Oryzias latipes: one gene and its partners. The protein of the gene in region 7 interacts with the protein of the main gene of each other region in a biochemical or structural test. Links are inferred from orthologs where the notes say so. Each region holds a gene or a part of one and is shown on either strand. Other genes may lie near its edges. The genes, in order: nr0b2, nrip1, ncoa6, med1, tada3, psmc5 and retinoic acid receptor alpha-A.

What was found.
Region 1: the proteins of retinoic acid receptor alpha-A (region 7) and nr0b2 form a complex in vitro, tested with the Homo sapiens proteins (2 studies listed by BioGRID). The link is inferred for Oryzias latipes from reciprocal best matches to the Homo sapiens genes RARA and NR0B2.
Region 2: the proteins of retinoic acid receptor alpha-A (region 7) and nrip1 form a complex in vitro, tested with the Homo sapiens proteins (4 studies listed by BioGRID). The link is inferred for Oryzias latipes from reciprocal best matches to the Homo sapiens genes RARA and NRIP1.
Region 3: the proteins of retinoic acid receptor alpha-A (region 7) and ncoa6 form a complex in vitro, tested with the Homo sapiens proteins (3 studies listed by BioGRID). The link is inferred for Oryzias latipes from reciprocal best matches to the Homo sapiens genes RARA and NCOA6.
Region 4: the proteins of retinoic acid receptor alpha-A (region 7) and med1 are reported together in a solved structure, tested with the Homo sapiens proteins (2 studies listed by BioGRID, with this or other methods). The link is inferred for Oryzias latipes from reciprocal best matches to the Homo sapiens genes RARA and MED1.
Region 5: the proteins of retinoic acid receptor alpha-A (region 7) and tada3 form a complex in vitro, tested with the Homo sapiens proteins (2 studies listed by BioGRID). The link is inferred for Oryzias latipes from reciprocal best matches to the Homo sapiens genes RARA and TADA3.
Region 6: the proteins of retinoic acid receptor alpha-A (region 7) and psmc5 form a complex in vitro, tested with the Homo sapiens proteins (2 studies listed by BioGRID). The link is inferred for Oryzias latipes from reciprocal best matches to the Homo sapiens genes RARA and PSMC5.

Annotation. Positions count from the first base shown.
Region 1 is NC_019874.2:9,914,529-9,918,756, reverse strand, and holds nr0b2 (nuclear receptor subfamily 0 group B member 2), read right to left. Parts: upstream 2,490-4,228; 5' UTR 2,488-2,489; coding exon 1,887-2,487; intron 1,806-1,886; coding exon 1,564-1,805; 3' UTR 917-1,563; downstream 1-916. UniProt on the Homo sapiens protein: Transcriptional regulator that acts as a negative regulator of receptor-dependent signaling pathways. Specifically inhibits transactivation of the nuclear receptor with which it interacts.
Region 2 is NC_019872.2:2,653,633-2,657,997, reverse strand, and holds part of nrip1 (nuclear receptor-interacting protein 1), read right to left. Parts: intron 1,059-4,365; 5' UTR 646-1,058; coding exon 1-645. UniProt on the Homo sapiens protein: Modulates transcriptional activation by steroid receptors such as NR3C1, NR3C2 and ESR1. Also modulates transcriptional repression by nuclear hormone receptors.
Region 3 is NC_019865.2:14,787,015-14,790,234, reverse strand, and holds the end of ncoa6 (nuclear receptor coactivator 6), read right to left. Parts: intron 1,800-3,220; coding exon 1,758-1,799; intron 1,518-1,757; coding exon 1,384-1,517; intron 1,312-1,383; coding exon 1,265-1,311; 3' UTR 948-1,264; downstream 1-947. Other genes in the region: DNA topoisomerase 1, read right to left, coding at 237-261, 560-592. UniProt on the Homo sapiens protein: Nuclear receptor coactivator that directly binds nuclear receptors and stimulates the transcriptional activities in a hormone-dependent fashion. Coactivates expression in an agonist- and AF2-dependent manner.
Region 4 is NC_019877.2:9,657,050-9,661,414, forward strand, and holds part of med1 (mediator of RNA polymerase II transcription subunit 1), read right to left. Parts: intron 1,972-4,365; exon of another isoform or gene 1,803-1,971; intron 1,068-1,802; coding exon 961-1,067; intron 636-960; coding exon 557-635; intron 270-556; coding exon 215-269; intron 59-214; coding exon 1-58. UniProt on the Homo sapiens protein: Component of the Mediator complex, a coactivator involved in the regulated transcription of nearly all RNA polymerase II-dependent genes.
Region 5 is NC_019863.2:25,385,253-25,390,319, reverse strand, and holds the start of tada3 (transcriptional adapter 3), read right to left. Parts: upstream 3,271-5,067; 5' UTR 2,856-3,270; intron 2,819-2,855; exon of another isoform or gene 2,673-2,818; intron 2,595-2,672; 5' UTR 2,515-2,594; coding exon 2,305-2,514; intron 2,231-2,304; coding exon 1,983-2,230; intron 1,847-1,982; coding exon 1,741-1,846; intron 293-1,740; coding exon 157-292; intron 76-156; coding exon 1-75. Other genes in the region: actin-related protein 2/3 complex subunit 4, read left to right, coding at 3,496-3,498, 4,035-4,153, 4,434-4,545, 4,633-4,728. UniProt on the Homo sapiens protein: Functions as a component of the PCAF complex. The PCAF complex is capable of efficiently acetylating histones in a nucleosomal context. The PCAF complex could be considered as the human version of the yeast SAGA complex.
Region 6 is NC_019877.2:6,907,828-6,912,094, reverse strand, and holds the start of psmc5 (26S proteasome regulatory subunit 8), read left to right. Parts: upstream 1-1,467; 5' UTR 1,468-1,594; coding exon 1,595-1,618; intron 1,619-2,471; coding exon 2,472-2,543; intron 2,544-2,638; coding exon 2,639-2,708; intron 2,709-2,817; coding exon 2,818-2,915; intron 2,916-2,998; coding exon 2,999-3,055; intron 3,056-3,130; coding exon 3,131-3,361; intron 3,362-3,503; coding exon 3,504-3,630; intron 3,631-3,739; coding exon 3,740-3,930; intron 3,931-4,267.
Region 7 is NC_019877.2:4,426,714-4,431,078, forward strand, and holds part of retinoic acid receptor alpha-A, read right to left. Parts: intron 3,098-4,365; coding exon 2,956-3,097; intron 1-2,955. UniProt on the Homo sapiens protein: Receptor for retinoic acid. Retinoic acid receptors bind as heterodimers to their target response elements in response to their ligands, all-trans or 9-cis retinoic acid, and regulate gene expression in various biological processes.

The DNA of each region.
Region 1 (4,228 bases), on a different chromosome or scaffold from region 7:
TTAATAAAATAAAAATCGATGGACCTTTATGGCTTTTTATTCAGACGGGTTTTTTAATAAAAGAAGTTTGATGTTTTTTAGCCTCTGACTGTGACTCACACACATAATTTAGTTGTTGCAAAGCCTTTCAATGGTTTTTTTCTGAAAAAACAAGGTCTATGTTTCATTAAAAATGATATGTCCCTCTACAAAAATGTTTTTTCAGGTTTAGTCTTTACCCTAGTGTTCCTCCTAATTGTCAGTCTCCCTGAGGTCAGTGTTGCAGCAGGCAGGCTTCTTCAGCCCTCAGCGATGAGAAGAACTTGTTGGACTGGTTCTTACAGAAAGGAAATAAAATCCTGGCATTTACTTTAGTCTTTTATTGCAAAGGAAGAAATGGTGCAGAAAACGATCTTCCGAGAACCCGTCCTAAATCTGTTTGGCCAAACAAATATTTATCAGTGAAAGTATAATGCAAAATGCTGCTACATGTATTTGCTCAGGGTCTGTTTTATAATTGCTGGAACAGAATAAACAGTTGTAGTTCAGCTTGAGAAACTACTATAAAAGGCAATCCCTCTCACACAGTCTTGAAGGGATAAGACTTCAATTAAAAAGATGGAAACGCAGGAAAAAAGTGGAGATTTTCCACCACCAGCTCTTTTTTTTTTTTTTTTTTTAAATGTTTTGTTTGTGCTGTGTTACCCCATTTCCCCTGGCTCACTGCCCCCACCATCAGCATTCCTGTTTTACCTGTATATGGTGTCAAGTAAAGAGAGACTGTTTCACAACCATCATACCACAGAATGGATGAATGTGAACAGCTTCTGTGGGGATTTTTGCATGAAGATTGTTAAGACAATACTGCTTTGTTGGCTTGGATTTACCCTTTTCTTCTCAGCGTATCATAAGATTGTAAAATAAGGTTGAAATGGGATCGAGGATCTTTCTTTTTATTTGCTTGTGGATGTGTTTTCCAATAGAGGGAGACAAAGCTTCGGAATGAACAAGAAATATTATTCTGTGACACATTCCTGTCATCATTTTTGAAAAAGAAAGAGCTCTTGTGGATAAATATCCACGTTCACCAACAAGATCCAACTGCAACTAAGAAATTTGTCAATCTGAGTTTAGCAACATCTTGACTCAATAATATGCGTTTAACAGCTGAATTTGTCAGATTAAGTGTGACAGTGGCATTGGCTTGGTGTGAGTCAAGAGCGTGAGGCTGTAATTTGTCATTTGTGTACAAAAATATATTTATTTGAAGTTTCCTGTAAAAGCAAAAGACACATATTTACAACAATGAAATAACAGAAAAGATTGACAAAATCAAATATTCTAATAGAAAGAGACAAGTCTGCCACTGTGTGAAAATCCTTCTACTTAGGGGAAGGAAATCTGTTGACACAGAGATAAAGTGACCTCAGCTTTGCGTGAATGTGAGCAATCATGGTGGCTTGTTCATCAAATCTACATTTTTTTTGTGGGGTTTTATAATCTGCTTCACAGCAGCCGTCCAACATTCCTTTCCCAGCCTGGGTGTCATGTGGTTTAAAGTCCCTCAGCTGAGGTCCACTGTTCTTATCTGTAAAAGAGCATGTCGACCAGCAGCTCCAGCAGGTCAGCCTGGCCTATGACGGGCCGGAAGAAGAGCTCGGTGACGAGGGTGGGTGTGATGCCCTGCAGCATGGAAGCTGTGAGCAGGATTCGAGCGAAGCGCTCCTCGCGACCCGGGTGAAGGAGCTGCACCACCTCCCTCAGGGCGTGCTGAGCTTCCTGCTGCAAGCCCTCCACAAACAATCCAGCCTTTAATTCCGGAACGTCTGTGGACGAGGAAAACGAGTAAAGTCAGTTAACGCACACACACATACTTCATCCTTTTACTGAATCCAGCACCTTCGTACCTGGATTGAATATCGTGGTTCCCTTCAGGTATGCATACTCCTTTGGGCTTAAATCCAAACTCCAAAACTTTTTGAGGCAAGACTTGAGTTTGCTGACGCCTGCCATGGTGGGCTGCTCCCTTTTAGCCTCGGGGCTCTCCTGGCGGTTCAGAAGAATCTTTTTCAGCATGCTGTCAGCGGGGGCATCTGTAACCTCAAAGTCCACATGTTCTTGAGCCAGCCCCAGAATAAAGAGGGGAGCCCAGCAGCTTCTCAACAGCGCAAACTGATCACTCAGTGGCAGCTGGTTGAACGCAGGCAGGCTCTTAATGAAGTGGACGGTTTTAACCAGAACTGCTGAGGCTTCTTTGCAGATCTCACTTGGACTTTTTAAGCACAGTGTCCGGCGCACCTCGCAGTTGCACCTGTGAGGCACTGAGATGTAGTTGAGGCAGTCTTGGCTCTGCATGCTGCTGTCCATTTGGCTCAGGATGTTGTAGAGGATGGGATTCAAAACCCTATCATTGTTGGTTAAGCAATGGCATCTGCTATCCATCTTTTTCCCCCCGATGACATATAATGGTGATGAATGCGTGCGTCCTCTCACAGATAGACTCCTCATGAGCTCCTGAGTGGTGCTGCTGCCTCTTCTATATTTATAGGGCCAACCCCCCTCCGTTCAGTGGACCTTGAAATGTCAATACACTCGATGTGAAAAACAACCGCTCGCTTTGCCAGGTGACTGCTGGAACAACCCTGGGAAACTGATAAGATTTTCTCAATGAAAGTAGCTGCTGGAGTAACACATATCAAAAAGGATGGGCCTTATCTGCCAGCAAGTGTCATTAACCCAGGCTGTACCAAGCTACCAAGGACTGCAGTGGTAATCCAACCCACACTGTGTCACTACACCTGCCAGATCACACCTGTGAAACTGGAACAAGGCCAGGGCACAAAGAGGGCATTGACCCCTGACTTAAATCCTCAAAAGTACAGTGTCATTTCAGTCAGTGGTAAAACTAGACAATATGGGAGAAAATTTTGAGAAAATTCTACGTATTGGCTTTTAAACTAAAAGAGAAATAAAAAAGAAGCTACTCTAAACTATTTTTAAGGGGCCTTCATCATGCTTTTATTGAGCCTTCCAGAGTGAACTATATCCATATATGTGATATATATTCTTTTGGCCCTAAAGAACGTTTTTATTATGAAATATGAGTTATTTTCACAATTCATTTCATACCCGGAAGTAGAATGACTCGATCTCTGAGGCACCGGCTTTCTCTCCTGGTGGGTCCGCCCGTTTCATGATGTCAACTTAGAGTCAGCCACAGCAGCGTGTCTGCGTTTTTCCCTCGAAAACAAACAATATCCGAACTTTTGCAAAGATGAATGTGCATAGAAACAGAATAAGCTAGAGAAAGTGGATGTGTGTTACCCTGGGGTTGGGGCTGCAGCGCAGACTCTGGAAGGGGCTGTTCCTCACTTTGAGACGTCACAATGTGAGGACCCACTCGTTGTTGTGGGTTGGGAGGGGCTGGTGCTCAGAGCACAGGTTTTTAGAGGAATGCTCAGAAATGCATGAATGGATCAAAATACCCCTTTGGGGTTGTTTACAGTGAGGAATGAAAATTACAATACACTTAAAGCTCAAAAAAGTTGATTTTGGATGATATAAGAACCCTTTGAAATTCCACAAATAAAAAGAAACAGACTGGTTAAAAATGACGAACTCTTGACATGAAATTCAACAAAATCTCAAATCACAGTTGCTTTGGGTCAATAGGTTGAATACTTGCCCAACAAACCTTGGACAAATATAGAAGTGCTGTGTCCTGTGAGTCATTTAAGGTTGTGTTTCTAAACCCGGTACTTGGGACACACTGTATTTTTTCAATCTTACCCGGCTCAAACTCAAATGCCTTAGGATAAATTATTTGCTTTTAATCTGGACATAAGTTTTAAAGCAATATTGTTTGAGACTTGTTCTGTAGCTCACTCAAATGAAAACAAGCTGCTGGAACTCCCTTTCTCCATACACTTTGGAATAGTCTATGCATTCAGTCTTGAATGCATAGACTCGAGCTCCAAACAGCCACGCAAAGAATCACAAATGGGGACGCAATGTTTTACAATCAACTGCAAAAATGATGACAAGAAAATAAACCGATCGAGAGGAATCACTTTTCACAGGTTAGTAATCACATTTTAATAAAGAGAAATCAGGCTTGGAAGCATGAAGTGGGTGTTAAAGTGGATGCTAGCAGGCTGGTTTGAGTCATCAATGTATATTTTATTTAATGTTTGATGTTTAAATATTTTAATGTAATGTTTATTACCTAAATATTTGACAAACTTGCTGC
Region 2 (4,365 bases), on a different chromosome or scaffold from region 7:
AGGGGACTCTGTGTTCCTTTCCTGATTATGGCCCCGACGACTGTACGGGGTATTGTTGTGGTTCTGAAGTTTATTCTTTCTCATCAGACCCTTCAAGCGGCTTGATGCAGTCCCATAAACAGGTAGTGGCTCTTTGTCTGATGGTGGTGGCTTGGGTGAAGAGGGACACTCACTAGCAGGCTTATTAGCATGCTGGGACATTGCAACACTCTGAAGCCGTGAACTAAATGACTGCAACAGAGAAGCCAACAGGGTGCTTTCACCAGCATGAGGAGATCCATCTAGAGCTCCATTTGGTAGCCCCCCCACTTGGCCATTCAGCTCTATTTGAGGCGAATTAATCCTTTGGTTCCCTGGATCATTCCAAGCTCCAGAGCGCAGCAAACGAGCTTTCTTCAGATGTTGTGAAGAGCCTAGCGTGGGCCCATTGGTGCCAGCCTTTGGCGTAGTGGGACCATGGCTAGGTAGCTGGAAGGTTCCACCCCTCTTGTCGCCCTGCTCCTGATTGCTGTGAGCAGCCTCAGACCTCCCACCTGCCGTGGCCCCAGGCCCGGCCACCACTGGATGCATCAGTAAACCTTCCAGATAAGTTAGAACAGCTGAATCCTTGTGTGTCTCAGGGCCAGGCTCCTCCCCATGAGTCATGTTCAACACTCAGATCCCCTGGTATAGCTTAGCAATGCTACTGGGAAATTAATGTCATCTCAGTCATCAGATTGGCAGTTGAATGTACTACTTTAATCGGAAAAAGAGGATGTGAAGTTGCACCAAATGTGTATCCAGATGGGGGGAAGAATGTGGTGGCTGAATGCCTTGGTGGTGGTCACAATCAGCAGCTTCATGAAACCGGATCCATGCCTAGAGGCAGTGAGGGACAGGTGAGCCTCCAAAGCATCGCAGGATTAAAAAAGGCAGAGCTTCTGGTTCATGTCAGTAGAAAACTGGGAATCAGCGGGATTTCACGGAGGCGCTGACACATCCTGAGGTTGTAGATACTTTCCGTCTGTCTGCTTGGCTGTGGTGCTGTCTTCAGGCTTTGAAGATCTCACCAGTCAGACCTACAGGAGTGAGAGGAAGAGAGGAGGGCAAGGGAAATATGACAGGAAGGGAAAAGAGGGGAGAAAGAGGAGAAACCGTGTCAGGAGCAGGACTTTGTACAGGACTGTACAACATTTATTCCACCATCATTCATGCCATCTCTGTTACTTAGCAACATTTCAGAGTAACTGCACAAGGCTCCTCCCCCTCCTTCTCCTCACTGCACCCTCACAATCACCTAACTGACAATAAATGCAGATGAGGCTTGATTAAATTTGTACTGAAAATTCAAGCCCACTACCTTCAAACCATACAAGTACTGAGATCTGAGCATCTCCCTGCAGTATCTTTCACATGTGAGGGGTCTTAAAGCTCTGAATATTTCATTCTGCGCCTCATAATTCAGACGATTATCCCTCTCCACCGCCTCCTGCTTCTTATGCACTTGAGCTGGGGTCCGCCCACCTACTTGTGCACAATCAGGATTTTGTGATTGTTTATGCTTCAATATAGGTGATGCATGTATTGGTGTCCTTAAGAAGCTCCCCTTTAACATCCCCTTCACACCTTTGAACCATTTTAACCTGAAACTGTGATGATCAGAGGGGAACACAGCACGGTAATGACAGACAAGTTAGACTTAAATGTTAAGTGAATGAGTGTGTTTGTGTTTGTGTAGATAATCGGCTGCGCCTGTCACACCCGTCCACTGTCAGGAGGGCAGAGCTGGTGACATGGGGGTGAGCCCTGTGCCAGTTGCCATGACAGTGTCAGTGACGCTGCCCTAAAAGACCTCTGCTATGAACTCTGTCAGAGTGGTTTCCGTGGATACAGGACACTTCTGACAGTCCCGGTCGCATCTCATAAAGGTTAATTAATACAGAGTTTCCACCTCGCCTCGGCTGCTGTCTGTGTCCCTTATGCCCTCACCTTTAGAGTCCGCTCCATGGGCCGACATAGTTGGTCACGTGACAGGACAGAACCCATTTATTATGACCTGAGACCACAGCAACCTACTCTAACACCATTCATAGACAGCTGAGAAAAGACTAGAAACAATGAGGCACAGAACTCCTATTCAGTCGGAAATTCTTTTCTAATGCTGGCCCGATACTGACCGTATCAGGCCATGACAGTGAGACAAACTGGCTTCCACTTTAAAATGCCACATTGGAAATGAACTAGGATTAGGTGCTGGATTTAAGTTGATTAGGGCATAATTAAGTCTGAGCAGCAGAAGAAAAACAAACAGGTTAGCCATTTTAAAACCGGCTGCAACCAACAGTTCACAAAGAGATTAGGCTTTTAAACTTACATTCTACACCAGTAAAAGAGTCAAAGATTGGCCCATAAGCATCAATATCAGTTTAAGGCCATCTTTAAACAGCTGACCTAAATCTGAAAATAACAAAGGCCAACCTGGTCACTGTGGGCCATCTGACGTCTGTTGTCATGCTAATCTTAAATGCTACGGATTAGGACCGTTTTCCCGTCATTGACCTTAACACAGTCACAACAGAATGGCCTTGTGTGACCGTGTTTGATCAGAGCGGTAAACATGTTTACCTTCAGCATGCCTTGCTAAATGAATAATATGCTGCGATAGAGCCCTCTAGTCAGTGAGAGGAAATTGGGAACGGAAAAGAAACGCTGACACAGTTTCAACACGGGGAATTCTGTTAATCTCCCTGCTGCTGGCAGTGAACCCTTGGAATTACAGTTGACCTTGTCTGTGTTTTTGCCCAAAGACACTTCTATAAAGAGCTAGCAGGGCAGAGAAGGGATCCCGACACTGCATCAGTGCATACACAACACATCTGTGACATTAATACGCTTTTGAAACATTTCGTTTTCGCAAAAACCAACTGTATTTATTCCTTAGGTATAAGAAGCAAAGTTAACATGTAGTCTCATTGTTGGTGGTCCCCAAAAAGGCTGACCTCCACTCCCTCCCCATGCTGTGAAAACCACAGCACCCATGAGCTGTTCAGTGGTGATTATCCATTATCCTTGACAATGTCAGCCAATGACAGAGCAGGCACCATTCAAAAGTGATTTTTACCCCTACGGTCAGCTGTGCACACGCAGGAGGGGGGCTGAGGTGGTGATAATGGGGGAGTAGGCTTCACTCTCCCCTGACTGCTTGATTTCTCATCCAGTTCTACCTTTCTGTTTCACTCACAGTCACTTAAAAGACACTTCAAACAGGAAAGGTCAGCGTACTTTCAGCCACAGTCTGGGATTCACTGTAGAACCAGAGGTCAGAGAAAATATGACTCTGATGGGTCAGTCCTGAGTGATCTGCTTTCACCAACTCTTTATCCAGCTCGGATTATTTTTCTTTGTCTTAACTTTAAAATTATTTCGATTTTTTTTACTTCAATTTATTTGTTCTGGGTCTTTCTGAGGAAGGTGTTCATATGCCAACTGGACATATCCTGAGCCTGTTTATATCCCAACAAAAATCAGATAATTATCATCACAGAATCCTAGTCAACATGTTCAACTCCTGTATCTGAATTACTTCAGAGGAAAGCTATATGTACGTTTCAAACTTCCTGTTACTTTTAAAACATTTGCAAGTCCGTTCTCGGTAAACATGATGGAACCAAAGACTAAAGAGTTAGCATTTCTAATGTGGCAACTGGTAAGTCTACTACAAGGGCTTATACACGCACAGATGTAATACTAAGAAATAAATCAGGTAAACATGGATACAAGCCATGAAAGGTTTACTGGCAGGCAGAAATCTCAGAGAAATAAGCTCAATTCTGATTTATGTTTATGCTTATATGGTCACCTTTACAATTGAATAAATAAAAAAATCCAATAATAATCAGTTCTATGGTGCATAGTGATCCCCCATTTATTGCGGGAGTTACATTTAAAAAATAACCCATGATAGGTGAAATAAGTGATGTAGTCAGCAATAATTAGAGATGTTTCAAAGCAGTGAAACTCCTCACTACACACTTTCTCCACTTTTCTCAGACAGGCATCAACATTTTCACACTTTTCTATCTTGTTTAAACTTTCAAAGTTCAAACCCTCATAGAAAAATAAGTCTAGTTTCTAGAATAAAACAAAGATCTGATCGCGATCAAGGATTTATCTAACTCTGGCAACTGAATGCATTCTGTACAGGAGACACAGCATGGAAGAGATTGATAAACAATGATCTAAAGGCAATCAGGATGCAGAACACAATGCATGTAGTTGTAGCGTTAGATAAGCTAATTCTTCTCTAAGAGTTCTGATACTTCACCTGTCAGTCCTGGGGGAGGATCCCTCCTTTCTTTTTTTTTTTGTTGGAGTTTTTCCTTACCA
Region 3 (3,220 bases), on a different chromosome or scaffold from region 7:
AGCGAACGAAATGGTGCAAAATGAACCTCAAACCGGGCTCTGTCTGGAGGCAACGTTTGCTTCAAAAACTGAGGAGGGGAAGACCCCATTCTAGACCCTGTTTTTGAACAATAGCCGCAAGAGTGGAGGAGAAGGGACTTAGTCTCTGGGACGCCATTTCTGTCCTTTAAAACTAAACAGTAGACAGGTATACTAATACAATAACAAATATTAAAATGCATGATTAAACGACCTACCGCTTCCATTGGCTCCACAGTTGACCTGAAATTTACAAGAGAAAAATGTTTTGAGTGTGCGAACTTTGAGAATGCCGGTACTTCGATTGTTTTAAGTTCCAATGGTCACAAAACTACTTATTATAAATGCGTATTTATTCTTAAAAATTAAAAAAAATTAAATTGATGCATTGTTTTGAAACCCATCACTACAACAGCTGAACTTCTAACGTTACCGGACAGATTTTCTGCCATTCTTCTTATTCTAACGGTTATTTCTAGTGTTGTTTTAGTTCTTGCAAAAAAGAATGAATGCGAACTCTCCAAACGGGGAAAACAACTACCTGGGAGTCTCGATGTCCATGATCTCCACTCATGTCCGAGCTGGTTTTGTTTGGAATGCAGGTTAAATTGTTGACGGATGTTCAGGATGCTACAGTATTGGAAAGAGGAGGCTGCCTGGGAGCCTTCACTGACAGCACAAAAAAAATGGAGTCCCTACATTTACCCACTGCGCATGCTCCGCGCGCACATCATCCCAGACAGCATAAACACATCCATGACACCTCTGTCTTTTCAAATCACATTTTAGTAAAACCTGTTTAGTTTGGCGAGTCTAAATACTTTCTAATATTCTTTTCAGCTTCTAGTGTTATTAGTAAATAATAATTTGGAGCAAGGAGTCAAAATAAAGGGCAAAATGAATAACTTTGAACACAAAAGTCGACACAGTTTCACAGAACGAAAGCAGTAGAAAATGTATTTCCATTTTACAACATAATTACACAGTCATAACAAGTTTTATAATCAGTCTTTGAAATCAATCCAGCATTTCATATAAAAGCACATTCACACAAACTGTATGCACACACTAGCTACAATCTCACAGGATAGCATGAACAATTAATATTGAAACAAAATGTACATGGTTGTTTTCTTTTTTCCTCCAGTAAAATTTCATAATCCGAGCAACAAAACCACCTGCTTCACAGCAGACAGAGAAAAAAAGTTACTTTACAGTTCACAGCTAATCACAACTGCAGTTGGATCTATTTAGACTTCCTTCGCTTGGCTTGAGTGGGGCTTGCTGCAGTTTCTGTAATAAAAACAAAAAACTTCTGTATGTAGGAAGAGATAATATCTTTCAAATTCAGATGAATGTTTCTACCTTTTGCGGCGGAGCTGGTTTGAGGCCTTGCTGATCTCTTCCTGCTGCTGCTGTCTGCTACTGGCTCCTCATCCACCTCTTTCTCAGCTCGGGAGCTGCGCCTACTTGGTCCCTTGGGCTTTTCCACTGCAGCTCTGAGAGAAACGGATATAAAAACAACAACGAACAGGAAAAAGAAAGACAAGGTACAGGTGTGTTACAAACAAGCCAGGGTGTTACACTACTGCTCTAGTCAGAGCAAACTAATACCAATTAGGACTGTGCTGTTTTCCTCATCTACCACAGATGCCGTCCGTCTTCATCCTGACAGCATCCACTACGTTGACATAGTCACTGCTTGTGTCTTTGAAGCACTAACACATTCAAATACATACCTTGGGACTAAGTTGATGGGCGTCTTTCTTTTCTTTGCCCATCTGTGATAGAAGTGGAAATGCAGCTGTAAACTATCAACAGCGCTGAACAAGCAAAGCTTCACTTCCCCACCATATATTATTTCAATCCCAGGAAATGAGATGTATTCTCAGAGGTCATGGTAACGACCAAATTAATTTAATCATGAGCTTTTCCTTCAGTCATACATTGTATATTCATGTAACTGCCCGGCGAACATACACACCAAATGCTGAGGCCTTTGTTTAACACAAACCCCATGCTTAACCAAATAAACTCCCTGAGTTTTAAAAAAAAAAGCATTTTTGTTAAGAATAAAACAGCTTTTTCAAGATCAACACTAGTGGATCTAATAATCTCAGTAAGTATAAACAATCCCATTTTTTATTGTATTTTTTTAAGGAATGCAATGTTGACTCTTCTTCCTCAGAGGGTTTACAGTGTACTTTGATTTATTGTTCCATGCAGCAAACGAGGAAGAACATAAAAAGTGAGTACAGAAAAGTAAAATGACTGTAAACAAAATGTCTCATTTTATGGCATCCACTATTAAAAACAAGCAACAGTTTAAAAAACAGAGAAATCATATTCCTAAAAAGAAAGCAGTATTTCTTCTTTTTGACATAAAATCCACACAAATAATTTTTGAAAAGGACATATTGGGGATGTCAAAACAAACCTAATTCCTTCTATAGAGGTGCAAAACAATAAGAAGCAACATTAACAGAAAATATGATATGTATGGTTAATACAGCTTTGCTTAAATATTACTCCAACCGAATCTTTTGTGAATGGAAGGTTAAACATTATTATGGTGCTGAATGTATTTTGTTACTTAGATTCTGAAGTAACAGCTACCTTACCTTCTTGTTAGACATCAACATAACACTGAGAGTCAAGTATAAACATAACTCAAAGCGTTTCCCTAACCAGACAACTGACTCCACTAAATTGAAGCCATACAAGGTGCTATCAAACAGTTACATAAATAAAGCACTTGGTTATCTGGTTTCTGTGTTTACACTGTTGAAGTTGTGCTAACATTAATTTGTAACAGTAATAAAAATCAAAAATCATTCACTGCGAGGCTTTAAAATTAATTTAAAAGACCCTTTCAGATGAAAAAACTTGCTTTTTGGTGTTTTTAAAATTCTTGTGGCAATTTTCTGATGAGGACATATATAAAGAATAATAAGATTAAAATTGTACTTCTGTGTGTCTTTATTTCAATCACTGTAAAGCAGTGGCAGACATAAAAATCTGCATTAAAAAAGAGCTAATTTGTGAAACAGAAAATAGTGAGGGGAATGCTCTGCGCCAACGGTCCTGCCAACATCTCAGAAGCAAATTTCTAATGAACTACTGCTGTCCAAGAAAATGACAATTTTATAATTAAAGGATGCTTTTACAATTGATCAAAAGATTATTGGAATGGGTCTTTAGA
Region 4 (4,365 bases), about 5.2 Mb from region 7:
AAACATATCAGAAGTGATGTAGCACTCTGTCCCTGTAGGACTCAGATGAGAGCCCAACCTGTGCAAAGAGGAAAACAGGGGGAAAAGAAAGAAGTTTTATGTATAGATTGTGTCAGGTTTCTAAAAGTGCCTTATGAATGTATAAGTCATCTGATATACTGTATATATATACACAATAATATATTAAGTGGCCAAAAGAAATTTATGAAGTTACATGTTTTGTCGTGCAATAGATTCCAGGCGATCCGTCATTGAAGACAGAGATGACACTGAAAAAAAAAATATATATATATCATGTGTTTCTTCTACGTAATCTAATAACAAGTAATTTTTACAATATTGACATGTTTTGCACACACAACAGTTTGCGTATGTTTTGTATTTACTTTCACCCGTAAGTTAAATAATTGGAGGAAAATATAAAGCTGAAGTGAAAAAGTAATTGTCTGAAGCCTTCACGGCTTTACCGATTAAGAGACAAAACAATCATTATGAAAGAATTGCGACGTTAGCTATTCATTCTTTTTCTTTTTGCACTGTGGGACGGGACCCTCACCTTTTAGTGCTCTCTGCAGGGTCTCCAAACAGTTAAGCAGGAGCTGGTGACCTGCCGCATTCATCACACCGCGTTTCTCCTGAGGCACAACACGAGTAAGGAGAGGAAAAAAAAGAATAAAATGTTGAAATTAATGATTATGCTTTATACAACCAAATCGGGCTTGCTTTTAATTTGCGTAGCCAGCACTCTTGGTCTGACATTTAAATGTCACCAAGGGAGGTCAGTAAAGAAATAACTTCTTTAAGCTGTTTTGTGCTTGTTATTACATACTTAACTAAGAACACTAACAGGCTGTAAATGAACTTTTACTGCACTCTGAGCATGTGCAGTAATCTAGAAATATTTTTATAGTATGTATAATATTGTGGGAAAATTGGAAAATAATAGAATATCTGTCTTACCATAGCCTGACGCACAACTTTGCATGTTTCCTGCCATGGTCGGGAAGCATTGTGTTTAGCATGAAGTCTCTCTAACAGAGCAACCGTTCGACTCTGCTTTTCTGCCTCTAAAAGACAGAAACAGAATACAGTTAAGCCTATAATGACTGACCTGTTTTTCCTTTACACATTGGATTTATTTTTTTCCTAAAAAAAAAAACAGATTAAAAAATACAAAACTTTGATTATATATCTTATAAAGGACAACATAACCTGATTACTTTCATAAAAAGGTTGAGTTGTATTTTTTTAGGCAGTTAATAGTCAGGTAGTATCACTATATACCTTCTTTAAACAAAGGCTTAAACCCTTAGTTATAACAAATATTTTATTGCTGTAGAATGCAACTAAAAAATAGTCAAAAGTAATTTCCCAATTTATCACCTCTAAAAAATGTCAGTATATTTACATACAAAGAAGAGCATCTACTGAAATCTTAGGTCAGCAGTTTGTTTTGTTTAGGCTCAGCTAAAAGTAATGACATTTTAAAATGACACGTTGCTTTCTAAGGGAGAAATATTTAAAGCGTCTGTTCTTTATGTAACCAAAGAAACTATGAGCATTTGTGAAAAGCTTTAATAATATAAACCTACGGTGGCCGACAGAGCTCACACTACATACAAAAAAGACAACGCAACGACATTACCCGAAGCACAACGGCGTTCCCCGAAGCACAACGGCATTACCCGAAGCACAACGGCATTACCCGAAGCACAACGGCATTACCCGAAGCACAACGGCATTCCCCGAAGCACAACGGCATTACCCGAAGCACAACGGCATTACCCGAAGCACAACGGCATTCCCCGAAGCACAACGGCATTACCCGAAGCACAACGGCATTAACCACAGCGCGACGGCATTAGCCGCAGCATATCAATATTAACCTCCTCAGCACAACGGAAATGACGACTATTTTTCTTCCTACTGGACATAAAGTCAGTTTCAACATATTCGGCGCTCCTGAGAGAGGTACGTGATTTTTTCTACTACTAACTATGAGGATCATAATGGTGTTTTCGTTTTCTTACTAGATAACCTAATTTCTTACAAATATACTCTTCTTCTTCTTTCTCTTTCGGCTTTTCCCATCAGGGGTCGCCACAGCGAATCATCCTTTTCCACCTCACTCTATCATGGACATCTTCTACCCTAACATTAGCCAACTTCATGTCCTCTGTTAAGACATCCATGTATCTCCTCTTTGGCCGTCCTCTTGCCCTCCTGCCAGGCAGCTCCATCTCCAACATCCTTCTACCAATATATCCACTATCCCTCCTCTGAACATGTCCAAACCATCTCAGTCTGGCTTCTCTGACTTTGTCGCTAACACAGGCAACATGAGCCGTCCCTCTGATGTACTCGTTCCTTATCCTGTCTAACCTGGTCACTCCTAAGGAGAACCTCAACATCTTCATCTCCGCTACCTCCATCTCAGCCTCTTGTCTCTGTCTCACTGCTACCGTCTCTAACCCATAGAGCAGAGCTGGTCTCACCACTGTCTTGTACACCTTTCCTTTGAGTCTTGCTGGCACTCTTCTGTCACACAACACTCCTGACACTTTCCTCCAACCGCTCCAACCTGCCTGCACTCGCCTCTTCACCTCTTTTCCACAATCCCCATCACACTGAACTGTTGACCCCAAGTACTTAAACTCCTGCACCTTCTTCACCTCAGCCCCCTGTAACCTAACACTTCTACCTTGATCCCTCTCGTTCAGACACATGTATTCTGTCTTACTACGACTGACCTTCATACCTCTTCTTTCCAGAGCAAACCTCCACCTCTCTAGCTGTTCCTCCACCTGCTCTCTACTCTCACTGCAAATTACAATGTCATCCGCAAACATCATTGTCCAGGGAGATTCCTGTCTTACCTCGTCTGTCAGCCTGTCCATCAGCATAGCAAACAAAAAAGGACTCAAAGCTGATCCTTGGTGTAGTCCCACCTCCACCTTGAACTCCTCTGTCTGACCTACAGCACATCTCACCACCGTCATACTTCTCTCATACATGTCCTGAACTACTCTAACATATTTCTCTGCCACTCCAGACGACCTCATACAGTACCACAGCTCCTCCCTCGGCACCCTGTCATACGCCTTCTCTAAATCTACGAACACACAATGCAGCTCCTTCTGACCTTCTCTGTACTTTTCCATCAACATTCTCAAAGCAAAAATGGCATCAGTGGTGCTCTTACGGGGCATGAAACCATACTGCTGCTCACAAATCTCCACCTTCTTCCTAAGCCTGGCTTCCACTACTCTTTCCCACAGCTTCATTGTGTGGCTCATCAACTTTATTCCTCTATAGTTGCTGCAGTTCTGCGTGTCACCCTTGTTCTTAAAGATTGGGACCAGAACGCTTCTCCTCCATTCCTCAGGCATCTTCTCACTCTCTAAAATCCTATTGAACAACCTTGTTAGAAATTCCACTGCTGTCTCTCCTAGGCACTTCCATACCTCCACAGGTACGTCATCAGGACCAACGGCCTTTCCGCTCTTCATCCTTTTCAGAGCCTTCCTAACCTCATCCTTTCCAATCTCTGCTACTTCCTGCTCCACAACAACCACATCTTCCTCCCTTCTTTCCCTGTCATTTTCCTCGTTCATCAGCTCCTCAAAATACTCCTTCCATCTTTTCTGTACACTCTCTTGGGTTGTTAGCACCTTTCCATCTCTGTCCTTAATCACCCTTATCTGTTGCACGTCCTTCCCATCTCTGTCTCTCTGTCTGGCCAGCCTGTACAAGTCCTTCTCTCCTTCCTTTGTGTCTAACCTGTCATATAGCTCATCGTAAGCTTTCTGTTTGGCCTTTGCCACCTCTCTCTTCACTTTACGCTGCGCTTCCTTGTACTCCTGTCTACCTTCCTCAGTCCTTTCTACATCCCACTTCCTTTTAGCCAACCTCTTCCTCTGGACGCATTCCTGTACTTCCTCATTCCACCACCAAGTCTCTTTACCGTCTTTCCTCTTTCCAGATGACACACCTAGCACCTTCCTACCTGTTTCCCTGATAATCTCTGCTGTAGTTTCCCAGTCCTCTGGAAGCTCATCCTGACCACCCAGGACCTGCCTCAACTTCTGCCTAAATTCCTCACAAGTTTCTTCATTCTGTAGCTTCCACCACTTGGTCTTCTTTTCTGTTTTCCCTCTCTTCTTCTTCCTGACCTCCAGAGTCATCTTACACACCACCATGCGGTGCTGTTTGGCTACACTCTCTCCTACCACCACTTTGCAGTCATTAACCTCTCTCAAATGACCTCGTCTACATAGGATGTAGTCCACCTGAGTACTCCTACCTCCACTTCTGTATGTCACTCTATGTTCCTCTCTCTTCTGGAAGTAAGTGTTGACTACAGCC
Region 5 (5,067 bases), on a different chromosome or scaffold from region 7:
TGAGAGGACCAAAGGGACAGCCATCTTCTTGTGATTCGTGCTGAGATTCCGACTTTTTCAGCAGAGAATCTACATCTGCAGTGATTCAGCATGAAGACATGCCTTTCATTGGGAATCAACCATTACAGCAAACATCAATTTTGAACTTTTCCTCACCTTTTGCATCCAGCTCTGACAGTGGACCTCCCATGATGCCTTTCTTCTTGTCATTGGCTCGTGCGCCTTCCCTCTGTTCCTCCAACAGATCCTCTTGAGCCCACCTCTGGGAGTAGTGTTTCCCCAGCGCTGGAATCTAAGGTTAATATCAACGCCAAGAAAGCTCTGTTTGATTCTTGCTCCACATTGTGTGCAGGCAATCGTCTAACAAGTCACATTACTATTCAGTCATTTCACCCCTTGATGCAAATATGCATCAAACCACTTCTGCTCCAAAATTGATAATATTTTTATTTATTTATATAGCACCTTTTAATTTAAAAAAAGATATGTTTTTTAGCTGGTTTTCAAAGTCTGCAGATCTGAGGCTGAGAGGAAGGGAGTTCCAAGAGGGATGGAGCCACCGCTGCAAAGGCTTTGTCACCTTTAGTTTTTAACCGGGTTCTCTTAACAACCAGCAGACCCTGGTCACATGATCTCAGGGACCAGCTGGGAGTGTACGGCTGCACAAGGTCTTTTACATAGTCTGGTTTTTTAAATGATAAAAAAAAATATCTTAATTTAGCATCTACATGAAAGCAAAAACATAAGTGAATTATTTTTTCATCACTGGAAAAATATTCAGGCGTCGTGAGGTTAAATGGTGACATCAAACGTTACCTTTAGGGTTGTTTAACGTGAATTAAAAAATTATTCAGAACCAAGGAGGGATGAGAACTGATTAGCAATTATTCAGTGATTTAAAAAAATTTTATATTTAACATCACAAGAAAGTATTTGCATAATATGTATTTACTTGTTGTTATATAGACGCATCATTAAAGCTCGTTTTAGAACCGTTTTCCTGTGATATATACCGGTACATTTCTTACATGTAGTCTAATAATAATAAAAGGAGTAGCTAGTAAGGCAATTACCTTATTTAAAAAGGTGGAGAGAAAAAAGTTCCCAACATTAAGTTATGCACAGGAATAAATTACTTCAATGAATAAAAATAGGCTCATAACAAGACAAACTAATGGGTCAAGCTTTGCTTATATTTCTCTTGCTCTTATTAGAGCAAAAATGTTTTTATGTCTGACTAGATAAAAAACCCTACAATTTTTAAGACCATTAAATATTTCCAAGTTCATTTAGCTACAATGTTGTTTTGGTTAACTTGTACTGAAGTGATGAAAAAAGGGTTTTTGTGTAAATTGGTCTTAAGTTCAGTAAAGTGAATACTTTGTAAATGTTGAGTAGAAGTTTGATGAATTTGCATCTAAAAAAGTCACTCTGATCCTCTTTTGATCCATTTTCACAGCGTTCCCAGTGGTCTTTAAATGTACACAGACCCACAACTAATTATCTTTTTTATTTGGTGACGTTTTAAGTTTTCGATCTGGTTTTCAGGTCATACTGACAGAATTCGGACATGGCTTGTTTGCCAAGAACCAAATGAAGTCCTACCTAACTCTGTTAGGAAACAGAAGTATTTAGGGAAGAACATAGAACTTTAAGGGTTTCTTTTGAGGGAGAGGTGTGTATCGCTTTGAATCTAGAAGCCCCACTGCCTTAAGTGAACTAAAAGTTTTAAAATCATACTTTGAAATACTCAGCCTCGTCCTCTAAGGGCTTAAGAAGCTCTTCAAGCAGTCGTATTTCTTCATTGGTAATATCTGCACAATACGGTTCAACTGAAGCCCAGAATCTGGAAAAAAAAAAGTAAAAAGTAAACAGATTAAACATAAAAAGGGTTTTAATCCACCAAAACAAATAAACTAAACAGTGAAGCAAGGTTGAAGCCGAAAAAGATAAGTATGGTGTGAAAAGCGCCTCGTGCTGACCTGTTGGGAGCATCATTTTTGGGGGTGCACGGGATATCTTGTGGTTCATCTGTAAATTCATACTCTTGAACTTTCGGCTGCAGGTTTTTGGATTTGGGCCTTCCGGGACCAGGTCCTTGTCCATGTGCTCCTTTCCCATCCAGTTTTTGTTTCTTGGGCTTGTGGCGGGATGTGGCTGCAGGATCAGGGTCTTTTCCCATTTTAAGGAAGCGCTTGTCTCCCTTTTTGTCTTGCCAATCTGTGAGGATCTGGAAGGATGAAAGCGATGCGGTAAATCAAATGTTGCGTCCATCTGCTGCTGAATGGATGAGCGTCCACCTACCTGTCTCTGCTCCTCCAGGGCTCGCAGGCGGCGGCTGGCTGAAGACAGGAGCGTCTCCAGCTCCAGCTGCAGAGTATCAAGCTCCCCGCTGCCGATGCCATCGTCCTCTGAGCGGCCCAGCACGGCGGTGTAACGGGGACACAACCTGACATGATCCACGGGCTTGAAGTCGTAGTATTTCAGCGGGGAACAGTCCTTCAGCTCGCTCATGATGTTGATTGTTGGCAGGGAGCCGTTAGTCTGATGTAACTGACGCAAAATGATGAACAGCGGGGTAATTTACAGACCATCTGAAACGAACACACAGTTCATCCTGATCACGTTTGGCCATAATTAATTCATTAAAAACACAACACATAGATACGTACGCATCACACACGACACACTCGAGCGGGGCTGAACCAGCGGCCGGCCAGAATTGCCCCCAAATTACATTTTTAATTACACAGCGAACTGCTTAGAAATGGCTTATATAAACACAAACGTTTTTTTAACGCCACACACTTCAAGAACAGACGCGTAATTAATTTTTAAAGATCAACGATATTTACCGTCAGTGAAGGTGCCCATGATGGATTATACCATCGTGCAAGTGGGGGTGTTTTTTGTAGGCTTTTTTTTTAATATATCACCTTGAAGTGAACACAGTTGCTGTCTCAGCATTTGTATAGAATAATACATATAAAGAAAAGACATAATGCCAAAAAATATGGAAAATGGGTAAATGCATTTTACGAAATCTAGAAAACGCCCAAAGCTGCATCTGTGATGGTACTGTCGGAAGAAACCATTAGGTCAATCTGAATTTGTCAAGTAATAGCCACTATGTTTTCAACTTAAATGCTATTATATGAAACGAGTACAATTATGACTATAAAAATTTAATATTGAGGCAAAAAATTAAATAATGTGTAGATATTACAAGCCTAAATTGTCACTGAAGAAAAACGTCTCCCCCGTTGTACAGTGAAATTGAAGTCCGATTGGGTTTGCTCGGTTTCTTATAACGTGTTTTCTGGATGGGTGGAGCCACAAAGCAAAACTGCTAGATGAGTTGCGCACCGAGAAACTGTCGACCTCATCAAACGAAGACAAGAAAACAAACGCACCCTAGCGTTACTCTACTATGCAGGATTTACGGAAGAGCCGTCCCAGGCGTGGCAGAGGAACTTCCGTCTTTTACTGCTCAAAATGGTAAGTCTGATGCATAATATTTTCGCTTATATTTTACAATTTAGCTTTTTATTCCAAGCAACTATGGATATTATTAATGTGAGAAAAGCTAGCTAGCTTCTAGATCTTTATCCGGTGTTAGTGGTTCGATCTAGTTATCGGAGGGCAGGCATCCTTCATGTAGGTATGCAGAAACTAGACTAGAGTGACAGAAGACGTGAGCTGCCTTTTCCTGTTAGCCTCTTTTTCATTTAGGCTCTTTTTTGTCTGTTATGTCACCCGGCAATCTTTAAAAGATACAAAAAAAAGAAGAGATGATCACATTTTTTACTAAAATGTTGCTCTAGAAATCTCCCCAAATCCCATCCTCTGTTACAATAAACTAGAGAAAAGAAACATGCTAATGGCTTAATTCATTACTAATCACAATATTTGGTTGAAATGATAAAAAATGGCATGGAAATGTAATGTTCTAATTGGTGCTTATATCAGCCTTGATCCCTTAGTGTTTCAGTAAAGCAGGATTCCTTCACATACTGATCTTCTGCTCATTCCAGACAGCGACTCTGCGCCCCTACCTGAATGCTGTGAGGGCCACCCTGCAGGCCGCCCTCTGTTTGGAGAATTTCTCCTCTCAGGTGGTGGAGCGCCACAACAAGCCTGAGGTGGAGGTCAGGTATGTGTCACATCAGCAACTGCAAGCCTTTCTTTTTTTATATTGTTGTTGTTGCTTGCTGCTGTTGCATCTTTTCCGATTGTGGTTCGTCAGCTGCTTTCACACAAGTTCGGACCTGTGCGGACTTGTACTGGAAAATATTTGTGGGAAGGGGAAAAAAAGACATGGACGCACCAAATGTAGCTAGCTGCAGCTTGCCTGCAGATGTCCTCCTAACAAAGTGAGACAGAGCAGCTGGAGATTTGAAAGCTGAAGGGATCTGATGGCCATGTGTTTACAGGAGCAGCAAGGAGTTGCTGCTTCAACCGGTGGTGATCAGTCGTAACGACAAGGAGAAGGTGTTCATCGAAGGGTCCATCAACTCTGTCAGAGTCAGCATTGCTGTGAAGCAGGTCCTTAAAAAAATCTCTACAATATAATACGTTTTTTTCCAGGATTTGCAGGAACAGTATTTGAAAACACTTGTGTTGTGATCACAGGCTGATGAGATCGAGAAGATCCTTTGCCACAAGTTCATGCGCTTCATGATGATGAGAGCGGAGAACTTCTTCATTCTGAGAAGGAAGCCAGTGGAGGTGGGGGATAAATCAGTTCAGTTGTGCTTAAAACAGACAACAGAGTCATTGTTGAGGAAATGAGGAACGGATTATTGCTTTGAAAAAGACAAAACCGTTTTAAATGGTCATCTGGGCTCCGTTTTTTAAGTTGAAGATACTGAGAAGGTTTCCTGGATAAAGGGTCGCCAACCTAAAAAAAAACTGAGTCCAGATTATCCTGGATGAAGGAGTCCTCACAGCCATCCTTTCGAATGACATTTAATGCTTAAATATTCTAGAAGATTTGTTCTTAAATGCATTTTTCTGAACAAAATGCTCTTCTATTGTAAAATCTTTTACAAATTATCTTTAAATGTT
Region 6 (4,267 bases), about 2.5 Mb from region 7:
TCAGCCTCATTTATCTTGTTGTCTTGTAAAGTAGGGTGTTATCAAAGGGAAAATCTTCAGAACAAACATCATATCTGAAATAAAATGAACCCCGGCGGCACTTTTCCAGTTTTTCCGTCTCCCTTTTGTCTATTTAAACGTAGGTGGGGACCTTCCTCGGTGCAGGAAGCATCTGTTTGCTCTTCATCGCCACACTGAGCCGGTTGAAGTAATGTCTGCCTTGTAATGTAAAAACCTTTTTTTTAATGGTACACAAATGTTTAAGCACTGGTTCTTGCCATCCTGTGGTCCTTCACGGGTGTTTTTTTTTTTTTTTTTACTTTCTAAAAGCCATAATTATTCAATGCACCTGTATTTGAATATTTAGCCATACTTTAAATACACTTGCTTCAGAAATGTCTTTTGTTTAAAAAAAAAATGTTCAAAAATATTTTTATGCAAATAATAATTCTGCAATATTTGTCTTTATGTGTGTTGGGGCTGGGTTTGTTATAAAAATCAAACCTTTTCTGTGTCGGGCCAAGATTGTCCAACAAAAAATAGGTATATTTTATAATGGACAACTCTTTGTTTTTGTATTTTCTGAAAGTTTACATTCTGTTATTGATTTTTGGTGTGAATGATTTTAATTACAAAAATCATAAACTATGTCTAGTGTTGTAAATTGAAGCCTCAGATCTTTGACTGGTGTTGACGGTAAAATAGGAATTCAGCTTTATGTGGTGGTCATCAAACAAACTGTTGTGGAAATTCTCTTCCTAAAACTAAAAATTCTAAAAATTCCATGCTCATATGCCAAATGTGCTTTGTGAAATGACACAGCACAACTGTTGTGCAGATATTTTTTTTTGTACAGCTTCTGTGTTTAATGTTTGCATTTTTTTTCAGCTGAAAGTCTTTTATACATTTGACGTATTTTTTACAATAAATTACTTACAAATGCTTCTTTCACTGTTTTTTGGTTAATCATACCTGGTATAAAGGGTGTGTATTTTAACTATCAATTACAAGGCTGCCTTCACTGATGTGGGTTTGTAACTTTAATACGTTAATTTGCAGTTTTCTGCTGTAATTGGATAGCTGCTTTTGAGCCTGTGCGTGTCTGGGCTGGCTGCAGAGCTGGGGTGCTTCTGCAGGCTTACAACAGGTAAGACTGGTTTTAGTAGAAGAAACCCATACATCCCACTCCCTTCCCAGAGCTGCACCTCAGTTAGCTACAGTTGGAAATGTGACACCAGTTCAAAACAAAAACATGACATACAACTAAACAGTTAGTCACTGTTTTTATCTCTAAACTTTTAAAATGTGTGTATATTTGATATTTTTTTTCTATGCTCTAATCTTTTACTGTTATATGGAATAATGCAATAATTAAAGTAGATAAATGTTGTTTTTTGATAGTTTTGTTCTTTCTTGTTTGAATAATTTAAATTGTATTTTTTTAAGAGCGTCATAACAAAACAAAACAAAAACTATCTTAATTGTTGCGCCGCGTTGAAACGCTAGGGGGCAGTGTTATATTGCAAGTGCACTCATGATTGAAGAGGCTGGCCGGATGTGGCAGCTGCTCTGAAGCGGATGCTGAAATTTCAAGATGGAGTTGGAAGGCATCGATCAGGTTGGGTTGCTTTTTTGCTGGTTCATTTTGTTTTTTAAATTGCAGTCCTATTAAAGAGGCTTAAGTGCTGTGCTTTGAAGCCTGCTTCTCCTTTAAGTTGTCGTTGATCTGAAAATATGGTCTATAATGGTTTTAAAAAACAAATTAGTTTTTAACAAAGCTCTGAACCTGCTGCCTGCAGTTGTGTGCTGCCGGTTTGCTGTCTCATTGTAGCTTACTTACAAGCTAAAAAGCGCAGTCAAGTAAACATTCAGCTATTCCTGGTATTATAGGTTTTTCTAACTTACAGTCGTGTATTTGAAGCTTAAAATTCAAAAGTATATGCATTTATATAATATTTTATTTGTTTAAAAAATACAACAACGAACGTTTCCTTTGCTTTGGTCTTGTTTGCTAATACTAGCTAATGTTAGCTTCCGAAGCTAAAGTTAGCTTCCGGTAATATTTTTGTTTTTCGACCTTATTTTGGATCTTTAGCCATACAGACTGTCATGAAAGTCATTAGTTCTCAATGCATCAATGGACAATGCATCGAATAAGTAATTTTAATTTAAAAAAATCTTATTTAAACACGCCAAGTACTTAAGCTAATGGTAATTTTGTTGTTTCTAGTACTTGCTTTACACAATTTCCCCCCCAAAAAATGTTCTCCTTTTATGAGGAAATTTGGCACTCCACGTGGCATGTACCACTTCATAATGTAGTTATTATACTAGTAAAAAATAACTAAATATGATATCACTAACACTAAAAGGCGAACATTTAATTACTTATGTCTGTCATAAAGCTGTTAAATTTCACAGGAAATATTATTCTAGATGGGTTATAATGTTTGATTTTCTTTTCGAAACAGATGGAAATGGGAGACAATAAAGGGGGATCAGGGCTCAGACAGTACTACTTGTCCAAAATTGAGGAGTTGCAGGTAAGAAAATATTTATGAGCTTTTTGCAGATATTTTGGGTCAAAGATTAGGCGTAGAATGCTCTAAGAATCCTCATTATTTTTATTTTATGATAGTTGACAGTGAATGAAAAGAGCCAGAACCTTAGACGTCTGCAAGCACAGAGGAATGAGCTCAATGCCAAAGGTTTGCAGTTTTAGAATTTCTACATTTAGTTTTATCTTGTGTTGAAATATCAGCAATAGTAGATTTGTTAAAAGAGGGTTAATTGTTTGGAGTTGCTCCTCTTTCACAGTGCGTCTCCTGCGTGAGGAGCTGCAGTTACTGCAGGAGCAGGGATCATATGTGGGAGAGGTTGTCCGGGTCATGGACAAAAAGAAAGTGTTGGTCAAGGTGAGCTGTGTTTGCTCTCTATGCAGAAGCTACATTTGAACCGATTGGTTGCTGTTTTAAAAATAACGTTTTCACAAACCCAGGTCCACCCAGAAGGAAAATTTGTCGTGGACGTGGACAAAAACATCGACATCAATGACGTAAGTTTTTGGATTTTTTTGATACTCTTGGTGCAAAACTGCATTTAAAAAAAAATGTGGCTGTTTCTGCACCAGGTGACCCCAAATTGCCGTGTGGCTCTGCGAAATGACAGCTACACCCTTCACAAGATCCTGCCTAACAAAGTGGACCCTCTGGTTTCTCTCATGATGGTGGAGAAGGTGCCAGATTCCACTTATGAAATGATTGGCGGTCTGGACAAACAGATCAAGGAGATTAAAGAAGTTATTGAACTGCCTGTCAAGCATCCAGAGCTGTTTGAAGCTCTGGGAATTGCTCAGCCCAAGGTGGGTGAAATGTATGAGTGTTAAAGTGTAAAAGCTACTAATATATATTCAGACTTTGTGGTCTAAAACCAAACGTCATTTCCAAATAGATCAGCTGTAGACAGAGGCTCACAGGTTCTTTTGTGATGCTTCCTGTTGGCAGGGCGTGTTGCTGTATGGACCTCCAGGCACAGGAAAGACCCTTCTGGCCAGAGCCGTAGCCCATCACACTGACTGTACTTTCATCAGAGTGTCTGGCTCTGAATTGGTCCAGAAATTCATTGGAGAGGGTAAGAGGTCCTCTATCTCTCTGATTCCTAAACTGGATTCATGTCAGGCCTTTAATTGGATTCTCTCCTGTTTTGATTCCAAAAACCGTGTTTCTGTGTCTCGCCTCAGGCGCTCGGATGGTGCGTGAGTTGTTTGTCATGGCTAGAGAGCACGCTCCCTCCATCATCTTCATGGATGAGATCGACTCCATCGGCTCCTCTCGTCTGGAGGGCGGCTCGGGTGGAGACAGCGAGGTGCAGAGAACAATGTTGGAGCTGCTGAATCAGCTAGATGGTTTTGAAGCTACAAAGAACATAAAGGTACCATACATGTCACAGACATACATGTCCTCTGTCCTCTTTACTGTTTTTAACGTGAACTAAAGTCCCCACAAAACTTAACAAAGGCTGTCATGTTCAGGGGTTTTTTCCAGAAAGCAGGTTATGCTAGCTCCCACGGTAAGTTTGAGGCTAAGGAAGTTGATAACCTCAGCTTTCGGTTCCAGAAATGGAGGTATGTTTCAGGATATGTCTAGTTGCCATAGTAACTCATGCTCTGAACATAACCTGGTTTGGAGCAGGTTTAGTTGAAGCTTAGTTTGTTTTCAGAGAGGTGAAGCAGCATGGCGTGTCCATTTGAAGATGATTTAGTGGATGA
Region 7 (4,365 bases):
AGAATTCGAGTCACTAAAACATGTTCTCTTAACAAAGATGTTTTTGAAACTGAAAACTTTATAGATAAAATTATTTTTCTTGCAATACAGAAAATATCTATTTTTCTTGAAACCAGGAGTGTTTACTTAAGATTCGCTTTTTGCAGTGCACGACTGATCGAAATGTATTTCATCATCTGACCTTAAGTCTATTCTTTTTGTAATGCCTTGTTTTGCGTCCCCTTTCACTCGGGGCATCAGAAGTCACCTGCTTCCACCAAACCCTGCCAGGTAACTGCTGAACTGACATTATGAGCACTTTCTTTGTTACTTTCTGCTTGCTCCCAACAATCCGCCTTTCTCACTGATGCAGTCTTACTTGGCATTGCCACCTGGCAGCAAGCCTGGAGCTGTTGTCTGGAGCTGTCTGCCAGCATACATAAGGTCACCCGGACGTCCCTCCGTGCTAGCAGGGGGTCCAGCCTTCTGGATGTGTGGGTGCACGCTCTCTGAATGTGGAACCGTCCCAGCTCCTTTCTTGTTTATCTTTTTTCTTTCTTTCTTTGCATTTTAATTCACTCCACTCCGTGTTGTCACCTTGAACCTGCGTAACGCCGCAGTGAGCGGGTGAGCGTGCATAATCGAGCGCTCTGACGGGCGCGTGCCCCGTGCTGTCGGAGAGTCCCTGCAGGCTGCAGATGGTTCGCGTCTCCGCTGCCTCCGGCACCGACCCAGACCAGTTTGGCGGGCCAAAGTCACTGCTGTGACAAAAAGTCGAGCAATCTGCCCACTCTGCACAAAATGTTTGGGCTGAACAGGGCTTTATTATAAAACAGGAGGTGTATTTATCGGACATGATTAGCAAAAAAGGAGTCCCTTCGAAAAAAGAAATTCTTCAAAAGTTTAGTTTTTCTACCACTAGAGGGCACTCTAACTCCACCTTTTGTGCTGTTTGCCACCAAGTGAAATTGGGTGTAAAAGAACTGGCTGCTGTGGTGTTTCTAACTATGATTAATGGCACCGTTCAAAGGTAAGGAGCTCAGAGGATAACTTTTTTTTAACTGTAAGCAACAGTGCTGTGGATATGGAGGGGGGGGGGGGGCATCAGTAGCAAAGACATAATGTGTTTATAGGCAGGTGGGGAGAAAGGACGCAGTGCATTTATAGCTCATGGCTGCGGGCGCCGCCGCGTCATGTGATCAGGTGAGGTATAAACCCTGCTGGCCTTTGAGCTCTCCGTGGTCACACCTCCACCAATTACTTCATCAAGTCTGACTGCCCGTGTGTGTGTGTTCACACAGCCCCCGGGGTGCAATGATGGGAGCAGACGCCTGCTCTTTCACTCTCGGCAGGTGAGAACATATTCATCACCCAGGCCTGCCAAGTCTGGAGACACGGCGACTGTTGCTGCCCGTCTCCATCGCTTCTGCCCTCGCTGCTACCAACACGGTTTATCCTGCAGATTAAACAACCAAACGCAGACAAAACTCTCACCGGGCTAATGCTGCAGCTAATCATTTGAAATAAAATAGGATTTGTGGGAAGCTGATGGATGGAAGAGCTGGGGAGGAAAAGCTTTCACAGGAATGATGAGGAATCCATCTCGGACATAATGGCAGCTTCATGATTTCACAGGACAATACGATGGACAGTCTTGAAAAAAAAAGATCAATTGGCCATGAATACACACACCTGAATTAAAGCCAGAGCTTTCATTTATTTCTTATTTTTTAAGAAAATCACTGTCCAAAGCGTGGGTGGAGATTTGAATCTGCAGTTACTACTGTCACATCAGAAATACATCATGAATGACAAGCATATAGTATTAAGATATAAAATATACTTTTGTTATTTTTGTTTTGAAAATTGTAACCGGATTTTAAAGCTCTAATACAGGAAAAAATGGATACACCCTCAAAGTGGATTTTCTAATCTTAGTATTTGGAAAAAACATTAAACAAATCATCTGGTTCAGGGCTTCTTTTTGTCAATTTAGGTAAAAGAAGAAGAAAAAAATACTGCTTTTCTTTTGAAAATCTTAAAAATAAACTCCAACAAACAAGAGGTTCAGCCTTTTGATGACCTTACAAAAAAAACTGGAAAAGGTTTTCAGTTATTGAAGCTTCAGAATTCACAAATTACTTATTTTCTTTTTATATTTTCATTGTTTTTCCCTCCCCGTCAATGAAATGTGTTGTACCTTTTGGATTAGTCAAGTTTTGGTATAATTTGGCTCAATTTATGATTAAAAAACAAGAAAAAAATATTGTTTTTTTCATAGTGCATTATCTAAACCAAATCATTCATTATTTTATTATTGCAGCCTAAAACTAAAACACCACAAGCATGACAAAGTTTAGGTAACCCACACAACATGATTAAGGGAAACAAGGAGATAAATTGAGGTCCTAAAAGGTTAAATAAGAACAAAAAAAGTATTAACTTCTTTCTTTTTCTGTTAAAAAGTCTATTTAAATCTATGAAATCTGTATGAAAAGGCCAACTATGGAATTAAGGCAGAAATCCATAAAAACTTAACTTTTGTCTAATTCTAGCAACGGAACAAACAAAAAAGTTTATTTTGCTCAGATTTAATTGAAACTTCTCAGGCCCTTCTTAAAAAATCTTTGGTCTATTACATCTTTTTAAGAATAAATGTGTTTATTTAGGCTCATTGTGAGCAGCAAAAAGATTGTATTTAAAAAAAGAAGAACAAAATCTGATCTCCTGAGACACAGAGCCTCTCTGACCGCTTTTATTTCTACGGTCAAAAATCGAACCAATAAACCCAGCAGTCAAATAAAGAATTATTCCACTGCATTGATTTTCAGCTGTAATTTTAAAGCCTTGAAAAACACAAAAATTGAACCAAATTAATTAAAAGCTGCAAGCAGGAGAACAAACTCTGAACTACTGCGATTAAACCCAACAACATGAGATCCTGTGTAGGTGGGAACAACGGGGATCTTTACTCACATTCCTTCGACATGCCGACTTCCAGGCACTTCTGTAACCGACAGTACTGGCAGCGGTTGCGGGTGACTTTGTTGATGATGCAGTTCTTCTCCCGGTGACAAGTGTACACCATGTTTTTCTGGATGCTTCTCCGAAAGAAGCCCTGCGTGGCAGAAGAACGCAGCGGTGAGGCTAAACAAACCACAGCACGGCTCTATAGGATGCTGCTACACCTTTAATCCAGGTAAAACAAAGCAGCATGTTTTTCAGGATGAAATAGGGGTTGATATTAGGAAAAAGCCAACAATACCACACACCGATGCAGATGAAAAGCACTAAACCATCAAGCAGTTAAGTCCATAAAGGGCTTAATCTGAGACATATGGCGCATTCCATTTAGAAATGAAGCCGGAAATGGCGGTGGCTTCTTCCCCGAGCCAACAGCATTCCAGTTTATTACAGAAAACCAGCGGAGCTTGCTCATTTGCCAGAAGAACTACTGTACTGTCAACAGTCGTATAGGCTCATAATGTTGCCCACCAGCTTGTCTATATAAGGTTTAAAGGAAAAAGAAAATGCTTTTGAGATGTTAAAAAGCCTCAAAGGGTTTTAGGTCAAAAGCCACGTGGTTGGCACACAACTGTGACCCAGTTCAGAAAGCTTCAAATAAGTCATTGTCGATCCAGGCCAGCAGACAGAGGCGTGCAGGAAGAGTTCTGCATCACAGGGTTGTGTAAGGCCAATAAATGCATCTGTCCTCCTAAATCCAAAAGTTTCCTCTGATTCCTTGGGATTACAAACACAAATAAATTCATGTACCAGAGGAATTTTCTCTGCAAATGTCAAACCAAACATGATTCCAAAGCTTCCTTCTATTTTTCTCGTTTGGGGCGTTGTAAACACATACCCATGTGACACTCGACAACAATAACAAATCAGCGGAGAAGCATCTAGTTATTTTTAATACCATGCGACCGAGGAGAAGAAAGTATTTGCGTTAATCCCAGTGGTTCTGTTGATTAAACATGTGTGTCAAAAAGATAAAAAAAAAAGGGGTTAATGCAAATCAAGAACAAGTGGGTAAGCAGGCAGCGAGCCTGGCTGTGGATGAGAGCGCCACAGGTCAGGACTGATGTAACCGAGTGGGTAATGTTTTGATGGGCAGCGGCGGCGGGAGATAAGAGAGGGAGGGGGAGCTTCCAGGGAGCCTCATCCCACGCCGAAGGATTAGCTTTGCTAGCCGACAGATGGCCGGTGGACGTAAGCCCTACGGTTTGTCCTTTGGAGATCACCAGCCTCTTCTCACATCTCCTGTCCACCACCACAGAGGGGAAGTGACTCCCGTTTCAGATGGACTACAAAAGGGAAGCCTGCCTGGCCTGCCATGCTTCTTTAAGTTTTGATGGTTTCTATTTAAGGCTGTGTCCGAAT